Linked DNA regions of Nothobranchius furzeri. The protein of the gene in region 2 binds, or shares a complex with, the protein of the main gene of each other region. Links are inferred from orthologs where the notes say so. Each region holds a gene or a part of one and is shown on either strand. Other genes may lie near its edges.

Evidence for each region.
Region 1: the proteins of ccnt1 (region 2) and cdk9 are in contact, whole or in part, in a crystal structure (PDB 3BLH), measured with the Homo sapiens proteins. The link is inferred for Nothobranchius furzeri from reciprocal best matches to the Homo sapiens genes CCNT1 and CDK9. Residues at the interface, in NP_001231.2 of Homo sapiens: Arg5, Lys6, Arg11, Trp12, Arg26, Ile72, Gln73, Phe78, Phe89, Leu90, Lys93, Val94, Pro98, Lys99, Lys100, Leu101, Val134, Glu137, Ile139, Leu141, Gln142, Thr143, Gly145, Phe146, Glu147, Leu148, Thr149; in NP_001252.1 of Homo sapiens: Val8, Glu9, Cys10, Pro11, Phe12, Cys13, Lys56, Glu57, Gly58, Phe59, Ile61, Leu64, Ile67, Lys68, Gln71, Leu72, Leu81, Ile82, Glu83, Ile84, Arg86, Ile99.

The regions. Positions count from the first base shown.
Region 1 is NC_091742.1:88,947,979-88,956,148, forward strand, and holds the start of cdk9 (cyclin-dependent kinase 9), read right to left. Parts: upstream 4,343-8,170; 5' UTR 4,239-4,342; coding exon 4,198-4,238; intron 4,059-4,197; coding exon 3,945-4,058; intron 3,408-3,944; coding exon 3,326-3,407; intron 1,308-3,325; coding exon 1,217-1,307; intron 1,131-1,216; coding exon 964-1,130; intron 887-963; coding exon 715-886; intron 636-714; coding exon 121-635; 3' UTR 1-120. UniProt on the Homo sapiens protein: Protein kinase involved in the regulation of transcription.
Region 2 is NC_091755.1:57,565,107-57,572,130, forward strand, and holds the end of ccnt1 (cyclin-T1), read right to left. Parts: intron 6,520-7,024; coding exon 6,449-6,519; intron 6,352-6,448; coding exon 5,086-6,351; 3' UTR 3,133-5,085; downstream 1-3,132. Other genes in the region: kansl2 (KAT8 regulatory NSL complex subunit 2), read right to left, coding at 1,291-1,545, 2,890-2,948. UniProt on the Homo sapiens protein: Regulatory subunit of the cyclin-dependent kinase pair (CDK9/cyclin-T1) complex, also called positive transcription elongation factor B (P-TEFb), which facilitates the transition from abortive to productive elongation by phosphorylating the CTD (C-terminal domain) of the large subunit of RNA polymerase II (RNA Pol II).

The DNA.
Region 1 (8,170 bases), on a different chromosome or scaffold from region 2:
AACGGTCATCACTCAAACGAGACCGAGCAGCGAGCCCAGCGGGACGCCTAAAGCAGGAAACGGGAATGTTCTCCCCGCCGGGGAAACAAAAGTTCTGTTGGCCCATTTGCCGGTACCGCACTAGAACACTCGGTCGAACTCAGTCTGGCTGGTGGTGGCCGGGTTCCGGTTCTGGTTGGGCTGCTGCTGGGGCATATGGCCTCTCCGTCTGGGCGGAGCCAGATACTCAAACATGGAGGTGTTGTGAGTGGACAGCATGTTCTTCAGGTCCGATGGCATCGGGTCACACCAGAAGAAGTCATGGTTGAGCGCGTCGTCGCTGTCGATACGCTGCGATGGGTCCAGAACCAGGAGTTTGTCGATGAGGTCCAGAGCACACGCGTCTTTAACGTAGGCCTTCAGGCGGTCCTTCACCTTCCTCTTCTGGCCTTTGGGCAGCTCCATCTTCTGGTACAGCTCATACTTCTTGTCCACAGTGGGCCAGACCTCAGCTGTGATGGAGCCGCACAGCTGGCTGATGAGAGTCAGCTGGTGCTGCTCGGTGTTCCCCTGCATGATGGGACTCCTGGTCCACATCTCCGCCATGATGCAACCCGCTCCCCACAGGTCTATGGGGGGTCCGTAGTCCCGCTCACCTGAAGGACACAGAGCCAGGTTCTGTTAGAGGGTTCTTTGTTACAGAACGTTCCTTCAGAAGTCCAGAGAGGCTCATACCCAGCAGCAGCTCCGGAGGTCGGTACCAGAGCGTGACGACCCGGTTGGTGTAGCGGTTCCCCTGACTGTTCTTAGCCAGGCTGAAGGCCCGAGCCAAGCCAAAGTCCGCCAGCTTCAGGACGCCGTCTCTGGTGATGAGCACGTTGGCGGCCTTCATGTCTCGGTGCAGAATCTGAACCAGAACACACGATTTAGGACCGGGCCCACTTGAGACCGGGTCTTTAATGTTCTGCTTCTGATCGGTCTCACCTTGTTCCTGTGGATGTAGTACAGCCCGTTCAGCAGCATCTGCATCACCTTCTTGATCTCTGCCAGCGTGAATTTCACATTAGCGTTGCTCAGCAGCCCGGCCAGGTCGTGCTCGCAGAAGTCGAACACCAGGTAGATGCTGCCTTTGTACCGGTTGAACTGGGTCGCTGCAACAACAAAAACACTGGGTGTCACCTTCAGCTCCAGCAGCAGATGGTTCCTGCAGCTGAAGATCCGGCCTGAAGCCACTAACCTTTGGTTCTGCAGATCTCAATCAGGTTCACCACGTTCTCGTGTTTCAGCAGCTGCAGGATCTTGATCTCCCTCAGAGCTGTGATGGGGAACTGAAACGAAACGAAGACTGAGCGATGCTGGAGATGCGGTCCACGCGGTGATATTAATGAGACGACTCGGGTCATTTGTTTATGTTCATATTACTTTAACCAAAGTGAGCTGTAATCTAAGACAGCGGTGTCGTCCCTCTCATGTCTCCATCTGTGCATGAAAATGGTTCTCCACCTTCACACAGCTGATCATCAGTGGTGATCAATACATCTACCCAGCTGTTGAAGTTCTCCAGACTGAATGAAGGAGCCTCAGTGAAAGACTCCTGTCATGTCTGCACCACATATTTCTATCCTGAACTCAGATAAGAGCTCTCCAGCATTCACCCCACCACCTTCAAACCAGTGAGAAGTTCTAACGTGTTCTTCAGCTTCACCAGAGTCAAAATGATTGGGAGGTCAGGGGTTCGATTCCTGGACGGGTCATACCAAAGACTTTGAAAAAATGGGACCCAATGCCTCCCTGCTTGACACTCAGCATAGGGGTTGGATTGGGGGGTTAAACCACCAAATAGTTCCAGAGCGCGGCTTGTCTGCAGCTCACCGCTCCCGCAGGGGATGGGTCAAATGCGGAGAATAAATTTCGCACACACACCTGTGTGTGTGACAACTAATGGGACTTTAACTTTAGATGCTGTGAACCCCCCCCCCCCCCCCCCCCAATTGGTGGACTTCAGCCTGGCGAGGTCATCAGCTGGAGGAGTCAATGTGCTCTTCACGCCTCCCAAGATCTCCCTCCCACCTGTGACTGTACAGTAGATGAGCGCCTTATGGGCCATTCCCATCTGTACCGGGTCGGCCCGGGCCGGGTAGCGTAGGTTGTTTACATATCTGGGTGGCCTGGTATTTTTCCGGGCCAACCAAGGCTCATTCTCAGCCCTCTTCTCGAGGGGGTCTGCTTCAGGCCGACCAGGGCCAACACACCCACTGCTGACAGCAAATTCACACCTTCCATTAGAGCAAGCCTCTGATTGGTGGGTAGAATCAGCCCACATGGGCTTAAGGAAAGGGTGTGTGGAATCAACCGGGCCAGGCTGGGGCCGACTGGGGCTACCTGGCCCAGGCTGACCCGGTACAGATGGGAATGGCCCATCTGATGGCTGCTCTCGCTGGGGGAAGAAGGATCCCAGCCCCACCCCGCCTTCCTATTGGGAGTCTCATGTTGTGGACTGTTGATGTTCATGCTTATATGTCTGAGGTGTTTTTTTGCAGAGCAAAGCTGCCCTCCCTGTGGAGGGTAGCTCTGAAGTGCCTTTTTTCCCTCCACCTGAACCAATCCTCATGTAACCCTCTTATCTCTATTAAGGTAGCGCGACTCAGGGTTGCGAATGACCACAGTCACCAATTCTTGTCATGTGTCTTGCCCATGTGTGTCTGATCTCTGAATTGTGTGTACTGAAACTCTAATTTCCCTCTGGGATTAATAAAGTATCTTTGATTTGATCTCAGCTGTGATTTTAACCACAACAAGCAGCAACAGAAACTCAGATCTGTCTTGTTTCAGGCTCTCTTCAGGCTGCAGGAGAGCAGGGGCCACTCTGGGACGTGGATCAGGGATGCACCCATGACCGTACCAGTATCAGGTACTGCCCAGACACAACACAACCAATACCGACCACGTGGGTCCACTGTGGTGGACGTTAAACCCTGTTCACTTGTTCTAAGCTTTAGCGCACTCGAGTGGGGATCCAATTAGAGCCCTGCAATGGGACTGGTATCCCACGGGTCCCAATGCTAATCTCAGCAAGGCGAGCGACTGAGGACAAAACTGTGGGCACCACATTAACCTGCTAGAAGATGGAGAGTTCAACTGAGGTAGCTAACATGGAGAGGCGGGTTTGGACGCGGATGCTGTGAGAGCCGGTGGTGATGAAGAAATCAGCTCTAGTTCGAGCCTCTGAGGCCCAGGAACATCCAGCTGTTCAGACCCATATGATTGCCAGCTTCACACTTCAGATCATAACTGACGTAAAGTCTTTCAACATCTCTAAATGAGCTACCAGGTTCTCGTCTCTCACCCCTTCCTTTTCATTTTCCATCAGGACTTTCTTCAGAGCAACCTTCTTCTGCGTCTGCCGGTGCTTGGCTTTGAACACCTCCCTGAAAAGACACAAACACACGTTTATCCTGTTTTAGAACAAGGACTTAAATGTTATTGACAAGCGCAAACCCTAATTTCAGAGTAAACATTAGAAATCAGGATCAGTAACAGTCTTGATCCAGTTACCTGTAACCCCTTAAGGCAGGGGTACCCATGTTTTAGTTTTAACCACACCTGATTTTAATCAGCGGGTGATTAACAGGCTTCTGCAGAGCCTGATGAGCTGCTGTACAGTGATTTAACCACTAAAGCGTGTTGGAGCAGAGAAACCGCTAAAACATGCTTTATACCGGCCCGCCAGTGCCAGTTGGCACCCCGAATTAGGTCTTCCTGACGGTCCATCATGGTTTTTCTTTGGATCTTTACTGAGTTTCCGTCCCTGCTGCAACTAAAGACCCTGAAACAGAGCTAGCCCTCCTCTGTGTGCACAACACAGCCAGAACATGGCCGATGCTACATCAGCTAGCACCGCTAGCACAAACACAGACCCGTTCACTTTACCGCACAATGAAACGTCTCAAACACGTCTGTCTCACCCGAAGGTTCCCTGTCCTATCTTGGCCAGTTTCTCGTACTTGGAGAACTCGTCGCAGAAAGGAAACTCCACTCCGTCGTAATATTTGGACATTATGGCGGCCTCGCGGTCCGGCCTGGTGGGGACAAAGAGGTTAGACTGAATATCAGGAAACTTATAGACAGAAAAACCAAGACACACCACACAGACATACCCAAAAACTTAAATATAAAACATATATAACAAATGAGCGAATTCGTAGTTGGAAATCTTACTTTTCAGCCGCGCCAGCGCTGCTAGCTTTCTCCCGCTGCATGACTGCGTTGACGTTCGCCTTTCTTCTTCTTCTTCTGTTTAATGGAGGGTTGGAAACAAACCACAGAGGATATTCTGCCACCAACTGGACAGCAGATGTAACTACAAGTCCCCCAAGGACACGTTCAAAACCCAAAACTCACCCCCAAATCAACTTTTTCCACCCGAATAAACAGGCCCCGGTGTCGGTACAGGATCTGCTCGGGTGCAGAACCGGCTCGGGGTCCTTCGACTGCCGATGACGTCAAAGTAGTTGATTGGCTGAACATGAAGCTTACGGAAGTTACGTTATCACGTTTGATTTTAATTGGTCAGAACAAATTTGCGGTCGTAGTCTTAGCGGTTGTAGTCCTGTAGTCCAAAAATCAACACTTTTTGGAGAAAATATGTTTGAATTTCTAAAGGAAATGTAAAATATAAGCAAATGATAAACGGTGACCCTCAAAAGTTCTTGATGTTGATGAAATAGGGCAAAATAAAATATAAGAAGTTTACTGAAAGACACCAAGAAATATTTTGAGTCAAAGAATGTATTTAGATAACAACTAAGGAAATATACAGACGAAGTCCCCATTAATACAAACAGATATGGCTTCACATGTAAGAACTGTTCTATTTTTTGTCAGTCTGATGTTGGTTTTATGCAGTTTCACATTTTTTACAAAACAAAGATAATATGGTGTTTTATTAACAAATTAGAATTATAAAGAAAACATTTAGGTTGATTCTCCAAATCTGAGACCATGGTTCTCGACCGGGAAAGGGTGGCTTGCCAACTCCGGGTCGGGGGAGAGGTCCTACCTCAAGTGGAGGAGTTTAAGTATCTCGGGGGTCTTGTTCACGAGTGAGGGTAGGAGGGATCGGGAGATCGACAGGCGGATTGGTTTGGCGTCTGCAGTGATGCGGACGCTGAGCCGATCTGTCGTGGGGAAGAGGGAGCTGAGCCAGAAAGCCAGGCTCTCGATTTACCGGTCGATCTACGTCCCAATCCTCACCTATGGTCATGAGCTTTGGGTAATGACCAAAAGAACGAGATCGCGGATACAAGCGGCCGAAATGAGTTTCCTCCGTAGGGTGGCCGGGCTCAGCCTTAGAGATAGGGTGAGGAGCTCGGACATTCGGGAGGGACTCGGAGTAGAACCGCTGCTCCTCCGGATCGAAAGGAGTCAGTTGAGGTGGTTTGGGCATCTGGTCAGGATGCCTCCTGGACGCCTCCCCGGGGAGGTGTTTCGGGCATGTCCTGCCGGCAGAAGGTCCCCGGGTCGACCCAGGACACGTTGGAGAGGTTACATCTCCAATCTGGTCTGGGAACGCCTTGGGGTCCTGCCGGAGGAGCTGGTGGACAAGGCCGGGGAGAGGACGGCCTGGAGCTCCCTAGTTGGGATGCTGCCCCCGCGACCCGGACCCGGATAAGCGGAGGAAGACGACGACGACGACATTTAGGTGTTAACGAACAAGAATTTATTAACAAAACTGCTGATGTCTTTCCAAAACGTATGTGTGAAAGCCGAGTAGAGTTGCAGTCATGTGACAGAAGGTCCTAGCCAGGAGACGCTGATGGTGGATGCTAACGTAAAGCGTATATCCAGTGTCTTTATTTGTATTTACTTCTAGTTTTCTAAATGTGGCAAGGTGGAGAAACGAGGGCCCGGGTGGGATTTGATCCCCAGACTACCGGAAGTACCAAAAATTGCAGTTCCACCGTCATCCACTAGGGGCTGGTGTCAGAAGCGAGCAAATCCTCATTGACTCCCATGTTAAAAATACCAATTTCATAGCAGAAATAAACATGTTTACAGCCTGGTACCAAAACATGTTTTTGGTTTAAATGATCTAGTTTACACTCATGACAACTCTGAGGGGGGTGAATTTTTTTCTCACTCTTCTGTTTAAGTGTGTTAAAAGCCTAAAATTCTGTATAATTAATGAGCATCAGACCCACGTGACCACAGAGCTAGCTCCATGGAAAGGCCTCAGTAGAGCCTCGGTCTGGCCTGGAAACTGTTCCGGCATCTTGAGTCTCTGTTTGTTTTTTCTGTTTTGGATATTTTTTGTGCAATTGTTGGACAAAATGACTTGCTGTGGCATTAATTGCACTAATAGAGCGTCCAAGGAGTCTCCACTTCATTTTTTTCAGTAAGTAAAATTATATTTATGTATTTTAGGTCACTGCCGAGCTGAGCTTAGATTTTAACATGTACTGTTTAACCATGAAATGTAAATGTAATAGGGTAAAACCCAGTGCATTTAACATAACGCTGCATGTCGGCTTCTGAATTTTGCAATACACCAGGCACCTGCCTACTCCTTACAGCAGAAACCTAGTTATCATGAATTCAAATTTACAAATATATTTTACATCCTCCATGGAAAGCAGAGACAGACAGATGATGTATCCACCCAGGAGCGTTTCATTGTCTATTTTCTATCAGAAGCTAACACAGGAGATAGGTGTAGGAGACTATTTTCTATCCAGCTAACACAGGTGTAGCATGGATAATCTACGTACTAGCATATAACGCTGTTTGCTATCAGCTTTGTTGGATCCTGAGAATGATCAAGCAAATTAGCATATGAAGCTTATATCATGTATAAATATCCAGGATACTTATATAATCTATATAAGTTCATTATACTGTTGTGCTTCTTTTTCGGTGTTTTTTGGTTTGTTTGGTTTTTCTTTTTTTCTCCATAACTGGTGAATCTGCAAACTTACACATTCTCTGTTTACCATATGTTGTTTTGTTTATTTTTTTAATATATTTTTTTCATATGTTGTTTGTTTAATTTAAGACTGAAAGAAAATTAAATGAATAAGAGGTAAAACTTGGGGGTAGGGACAAATAATACTTCTTCCTACTCCTTTTCAAACAAATAATGAAATTATATTTTGTAATGATACGTGTGAAATGTTTGAAAAAAAAAAGAACTGAACTGAACATCCAGTCAAAACCTGTTTGCACGCTGCAAAGCTGACACAGCCGCACGACTCCTTAAGAGTCCATCCGTCTTAGACGCAACCAACCTTCATGTCTGTTGTGACCTGGAGACAACTCAAGACTGATCTGGTCGTTCTGCGGTTATTCTACGAACTTCGGTGCCTTGAGGTCCACCAGACTTCCTGACATTCCAGATCTGAACGGGGGTCTCCATCAGGGTTCGTAGACACAACAGATTGTGTCTGATGTTGTTTTATTAATAATCAACTCTCTAGTTTATAGCAGACCAAAATTCTTTTAAACCCAGACCTCACAAGTTGTTCCAGGTACAAAGGTTCTGATATACATCACATTCCATCTCATTTCATTATTCATTGCTTGTCATGTATTATAATTAGTCTAGAAAATAAAGTTTATTTTAATTATGTACTTGACTCTTTCTGAATTAATACGAAGTGTGTTTATGGTCCCGGAATAAGCAAAGAATCCTAAATTCTTCTGGTTAAACATTCAAAGATCAATCAGGTTGATATTCCAAATTTATATAGAATCACCACATCTTATTGGTCATAATTAAACCCTCCAATTCTCTACACCAGCATGCCTTCAACAGAGGAATTAAATGTAATACAAGATATTTTTTGGACTGCATATTTCCCAGGTTGTGATAGGTGGCCAAATACATAGCAAAGTTAATAGAGTGAAGAATCCAAATATAATTGATGAATGAATAACAAGATTGCTAATGTAATTTGTATGTTGAGTTTTTTTTTTTGCAATTTGAGGTCAAGGGATATACAGTAAACATCACAAATGGACAATGGAACCAGTTTACCTTGTAAGATGTTATTTATATATAATATATATATATATATAATATATATTTATATATATATTATATATATATATATATATTATATATATTATATATATATATTATATATATATATATATATATAATATATAATATATATATATTATATATATATATATT
Region 2 (7,024 bases):
TGTTGGAGTTAAAGGTCTGGTACTGAACAACTTCACAGTCACATTAAACAAAGTCTTTTGTTAGCTTTTGCAGTTAGGATGTTCTCACCTGCAGTGATCGGTCCTCTTTATTCAAATACTGGCCACTTCCCTGGGGACCCATGAGCCGAACCAGAAAGGGGGATGGGGACATAGGATCCGTATAACGGTGGCTAATTGCCACAAAGTATGTTTCATGGCTGTTTTCACAACACTTAACGTCCGGTGGAAAAAAGTCTAAAGGCTGAAGCCCCCCCCCCCACCCCCACCCGGCTCATGGGTCTTCCTAACAAAGACAAATTAATGCTATTTTCTAATCCGCTTTGCCTTACGTCCTGACTCACACATATATTGTACTTCAATTTAAACGAGAAAAAAAAGTGTTTCAACGATGTCTTTTGCGTACTTTGATATTAGCTTGTAAACATTTGTAATTAAAATGACTACAAATTACAAGTCACATATATGACACTGCACAATCTCTTCTCCCCAGCGTAGCTGCTACTTATCACATGTGGTTTTCTCCACTTTTAATACTACTCAGGTATTTGCCGGCTGGTGTCGAATTACAAAAACGGGCACCGCAGAGTTTATCAACAGACTTGGCAACGCCACGAGCTCTGATTATAAACAACGACTACGCTCCTCTTTGAGCATTGTGAAAGGAGAATAACCAATAACCCTTTAGCCTGCTGAGAAGCAGATCTGTTTCAATGTAGCCTTCCTTTCATTATGATTGAGACATTAGGTGTTTTTGTGATAATTTCATTGTAAAATGTTCATATAATGTACTATTAAACATTAATTCAATATCATAACAAGAAACCTTTCAGTGCATTGAAATTTTCTTACATTCCTAGTGATGATGCTAGGGTACATAACAAAACCATACCGAGACCTGCTACAGGAGGTGGTCGCCGAGTGGTTCCAAATAAACTCACTTATTTTTGGACAGATGCCAAGATTTATTATCTCTGAATCATAAAAACACATTCAAAGGGTTCAAAAATAGCTCATGATCACAACACACAAGCTTCTTCCTGTGTTTACGTTTGTAGCCACTCCCCAGACTATCTGACTACTCAGAAGACTGAACAGTCTCACTTGGTTTGTAGTGAGGTCTCATGTTTATTTTTTTCTGTACAAAAATAAACTGAAGCGCAGAAAAACCCCTGTAATGTAACAAAATCACAAAGAAATTTGGACCAAAGGAACCAAACTGCAGGTGTGAAAACAGCCTTAAAGTTGATGAATGTGTGAACTTCTGCCTACCCATCTTTCCTCTCTGCCTTTGGAGCTGCATTGGGGCAGCGCTTGCCGTTCTTGACAGAGACATAGCTGCACTGCTTGTATGGCGCATTCTTGTCTTCAAGAATGTGTTTAATACAGAACTCCAAACCTTCCAGACGTGGCTGAGAACACGGTCGTAGGGTGAAGGAACAGGCCTGGGGCTCCTGTGGACGAGTCTGGGCCACCCGGTTACGACTCGAAGGCAAGACGTGGATTCGTATCCTGTTCATTTCAAGCCTGAAAAGTATCCACAAAATCATTAACATGGATTTTTATATAAATACTTTAGGAGAAAATGGTTTAAGTAGACTCGGTCAAGGTAGAGTATTCCTTAGTTCAGGGACTCCAACCCTGGTCTTCAGGGGCACCATCCTACAGGTTTTATCTGTTTCTCTGCTCCAACACACCTAATTCAATAGATGAATTACCTGTTCAGCAGGTCATCAAGCCTATTGACCACCCACTGAATAAAAGCTGGTGTGTTGAAGTAGAGAAACCTCTAAAACGTGCCAGAAAGGGTCCCACAAGGACCAGGGTTGTACCCTACTGCTCCAGAAAGTTGAAGCAGCAAGTCAGCGAACACGTTCATGCAAAATGGTAAACAATCATTTGGTTCAAAATAAAATACTATATGTACATTTTTACTATTAAGCTGATATTTTTAGAGACAATTTATAATCAGTGGTGAATATTGATCATTTTCACACTGCCATTTTTCTATTGCTTGTAGAAAAAGGAACAGTCTAAATGTTGTCTTTTTATATTTAATTAAAAAATATGTGGACATCTTTTCTTTACAAGCCAAAAACATCACCGTATGTATTCTTCGATGACAATTTCAGATACATCCTTTGCAGACATGGTGTGAGGACATTTCAAGAGCATTTCTAAGGGAACATCGATGTTCATTATTCTATCTGTAATCTTCTAATAGATTATATTTATCTATGTTGGTCCACTTCTATTTCCACAAGGCCGCACGATATTGGGAAATTATGCCATAATATTGTTGACAGTAACAGTAGTGATACACCCACTGACTAATACGCGGATTGTTTCTGTGATTCTTTTGAAAACCTCTGCAAAACTGACAGTCTGTGACAAAATACAGTTTTTAAATCCCAAGTCCCTAACGCAAACAAATCTACAGCTACATTAGCTAAAGCTGGTAAACAACATAAAACAGTTTCATACTTACAGTAAACAAACACACGCGGCAATAGTTTCTCCACACTACTAACAATTTCTCTAATTTTGGACCAGACAAGAAGTATCGAGGTTCTACACAGAGCAGAAAACCGTCGCTGGTCTACCCAAACGAAAGGCCACGCTAACGACGAAAAGGACTTCAAAACATGTGGAAATAGGAGACTACAACGAGCTTAAACCCGCCTCTTCACTGCGTCACTCCAAATCCTGCAGTTAATGGGCCGCCATTTTTGTGTAGCTAGTGACAACGGCAGCTGACTGACAACTGGAATAATTCGAAGCGAGGGAATTAGCTTTTCTGATAGATGGCAACAGTCAGACATTCATCTTAGTGTTATTGAAATAATTTGACATTAAGATGTAAAACAATACCCGTTGTGTGAAGTAAAACTGCTCGCCCCTCTCGCGTCTGCTGTCCTCACAATAGACATGTAGCACAATGCTAACCTTCGTGCAGTTTCCTCAGCATGTCGGCAGCCCCGCCCACTCTAAGCTCTCATTGGTCAGGATGGGAGACACCCAGACGGTTTATTGGTTAATCCAACTGTCACTCATTTCGGAGGCAAACTTGTTGAGACGACACTGACGGGTGATTGTAAAACTTAAAACCAAAAATGTATTTAAAATATTTATTGACTTTTAGAATAAAGCAACCACATATCAAAAAGAACAGTGTTTACATATAACTTAATGAAAAAAACTTTTATTTCCAGACCTGAGTGTCAATAAAAACACCAAGACAAGAAGAAACATGAAACTTAAGACTATTGAAAATGTGATTTTTGCATTGTTAGGTTGCATGAGTGTCTTCTGTTTGTATATATATATATATATATATATATATATATATATATAGGTTTTTATAATAAAATGTGTTCCACGATTTTCCCCATAGCATGTTAATACTCAAGTTCAACGCTTTCTCCAAACCACATAGCTCATGTTTTAAAAAATGCATTTGAAATTCACTTTCCTTATTTACCCACTGTACAAATTAACACTTTGTCAATTACATTGCAGTCAAACCCACAAAGATAAATATTCAGTGCATTTAACCAATTCCCAGTTACAACAAAAAATTGAAGTAAAACATCTGCTGCTTGAGCAAAGAAATATTTCTTTTCCAGCATGTATTTCAAGGGAACAAAAATGTAGTTGCATGGCTGATTTGTTCTACTGCATTGCTGTAAACTGCCTTAACCACTTTATATGACAACATAAAAATAAGGTCAAAGCAGTAATACTACACAACCAAACCCATATAAAGCCCAATATGGATGAAATGTCCAGATGACAGCCGAATCTCCTACCAACAAATATAAAACCAAGCATCAAATTTAAACAATCACTAAGTGACTTCATGCTCAAGAACCTGTACCGGAGATATACCGACAGCCAGCATGCCATCTAGGATTTTACTAATTTACAGAACACATGCGAATTTAAGAACAGTGTGAAGATGGGTTACGAACAACCTAGTATATAAAAATAGAAGAAAATAAAAACATCAGAACATGAGACCAGAGAAGTTGTGTACCACCGGCTTTGACATTCCAGAAACCACATGATTATTTTTGATACTGTATTATTGTGCTGTTGCATACTGAACATTCATAGGTGATCGGAAAGCATAATAGATGTTTTTGACCCAGCTGTTTACAAACGAGCACTGTTGGGCAATCAGGAAAAAAATAAAAATAAAAAATGAAATCATAAATCAATCAATGCAGCCTCGTTTGCTCTGAAATTCTTAAAAACTAAAAGGTATTGTTTTTTTCTTGTAAGTCCTTCATAATAACCATATTGGGTGGATATGTTTGTACTTTTAGAACAAAAGTGTGTCCGCCATATGAAGTTAGTGTGTTTATTTACTAAGGAACAAAGTATGCATATTTTACAACCATTTAAAACAATGACTGCAACACCAAGTCTAAAGAGAGACGTACAAGTTCGCTTACGTCACCCCCCCCCCCCCTTTTTTGTTTGTAATTTTCAGTAACAAATGTAAAAAAAATGTTTAAAACATCTGACTATACAATCTTCATACATGGTACCCAAAAAATAAAAAATGCTGCAAACAAAAACAAACACTAGGTATGGAACCAGGTTGCTGTTAAACATGGCTTTGGAGATATGCGTTCTTAAACCAAAATTAATTTTAAAAGAACGTTTTTTAAAAACCACTCAATCAATAAATAACATACTATAAAACCATTACAAAAATAACTGGTAAAAGAACCTAAAAAGGTTTCTGATGGCAGTTTGGATTCCTTTAAAATTTCAACAGAACTCATTTCTTAACCTCAACCACATCGCATTGGAAGTTACAAAAAGAAAATATAAATATTTATATATATACAATTTCCGCTAAGTCTTTTTTTTTAATCCCACATTCGGCGAGGCTCTCAAACCTTGTTATTGCCCCACAAGTAAAAGGGGAAAGTCATTTTCAGCCTACCAACATGTTGGGTGTGTAGAAGACACAAAAAACTTATACAATGCTTTATGTAACAAAGAGGACGTTTGGGACTTCAAGTACAATGTACAGAACAACTCCTGATCAGAGGTCTATTTGGGTAAAGGTGGAAGTGGGGGAGGCGGTTCTGAAGGTAAGGGTGGGGGTCTGGAGTTGTTCCCTCTGGAGCCACCAGTGTACCGATAGTCACCATAATGAGATCTATATTCAAACATGGATGGCTGAGATGGTTGGACCCCCTGAGCGCTCAGCAATGAGTTTAGCATTTCAAAAGTGTCCTGGTACTCATTAGACTGGCCCCCGCTTGCTGAACCGTGTCCATTAGTATCTGTTTTGTCAGTTTTGGAGTGTGAATACGTCCCCTGGCTGTGGGAAAGGCTCAGAGAAGGCAGAATGTCCAATCCGTGAGCCAGAGTTTGCCCTGAGGAGGAAGACAGGGACGGTAACTGGTAGGGATTTCTAGAAGTCTTGCTGGCTTTGGCAGCTGGTTGGGAGCCTGCTACAGGGTCTTGGGAGTGTACCCGCTTTCTAGATGAGGAGGAGGAAGAGGACGAGCTCAGAACTTTTTTGCTGCTTCCCAGTGTTCCACTGGAAGCAGATGAATGTTTGTGTGAAGAAGAAACTGAAGCACTGCTAGAAGAGGAGGAATGGTGGTGAGGATGATGGTTGTGATGATGGTGATGATGGTATGCACGGTCCCTGTGCTTGTCCCTGCTACTCTTGCCCTCCTCTCCAGAACTCCCTCTTTGCTTCTCAGGCACTCGTATTTTTACTTTGATGTCTGGATCCTGACCTCGAGTGGCGTCACTGACTGCTCCGGTGTGTGGAAAACGCATTTTCAGATGCCTCTCCTTCTCCAAGGGAATTTTAAGAATAATGGGTGATGGGTTGGGCATGTCAGAGGAGGAAGAGGAACTGGACTGCTGGTGATGATGATGCTGTTGCTTCTCCTTTCTCTGCTGCTGGCCAATGAGAGCCTGGGCTGCGTTTGCATATTCCCTCTTCACACTGGCCTCCATGTTCTCAAGCTTTCTCTTCTGTGCTGCCAGGACATCAGCATTTTTGGCACGGTACTCACTCAGGGATACCTTTGCTGGGGTGTGCACTTCATGGTTGGGCTGCTGCTGCTGCTCAGTTCCAGCCTGACCCTTTCCACTCCACGTCTGAGCACTAATGGGCATAGCCCTGTCCTTGTCACTGATAGATGATGAAGAGGAGGTGGACGGTGGAGCTGAGAGGCTCAACAGGCCCGCTACAGTACTCTCTGATGAAGCCATAGAAATCATGTTGATCATGGTGTCCCTCTGGTCGCCATCTTCCTGAATCTTTGGCTTGACTTTGGGTGTCTGACCGCCAGCCTAAAATGCCAAAAAGTCAAAGATTAAAGTTCATTAAAATTTACAAATTGCAGAAAGACCAGATTGTATCAAGTGGGTGGGAAAATAAAACGTGTACCTTCCAGTTGCGAATGCGTTTCAGCCGACTGGGTGTTTTCTCCAGGATTTGAAGGAACTCGTGAGTAAGTTCTGCAAAAGATTTTAAAAATTAAGATAAACTCAAGTAGGGCTGGGCGATACGGCCTAAAATCAATATCATTATATATTGAGCATTTCACCTCGATAACGATAAATGGACAATAACTACAGGTGTGCGCAGAAACAAAAGTTGTCCACTAGATGGGGCTGTCACCTAGGGCTGAACGATCTATCGTTTTTTTTTTTTTGGGACCGAAATTGCGATTTCAAACAGCACGATCACATGATCGTCAAAGCTGGGGTTTTGGGGCGGTTTTGACTGATCCAGGATATGTTGTGTAACTTTTACATTCGGGGTTTCCCCCTGTGTTACAGCGACGGCAACAGCCAGCGCGGGGGAAGGGATACGGTGTAGGGTTGGGAATCGAGCATCGATTGGAACTGGGACCAACTGTTAGTTTTTCATGGAGTCGTTCAAAGTTTTTTACTTCAATTCCTAGTTTTCGATTCTTAGTATGCCGACCGGAAAAGGAAACCGCGGCCAATCTCCATGAAA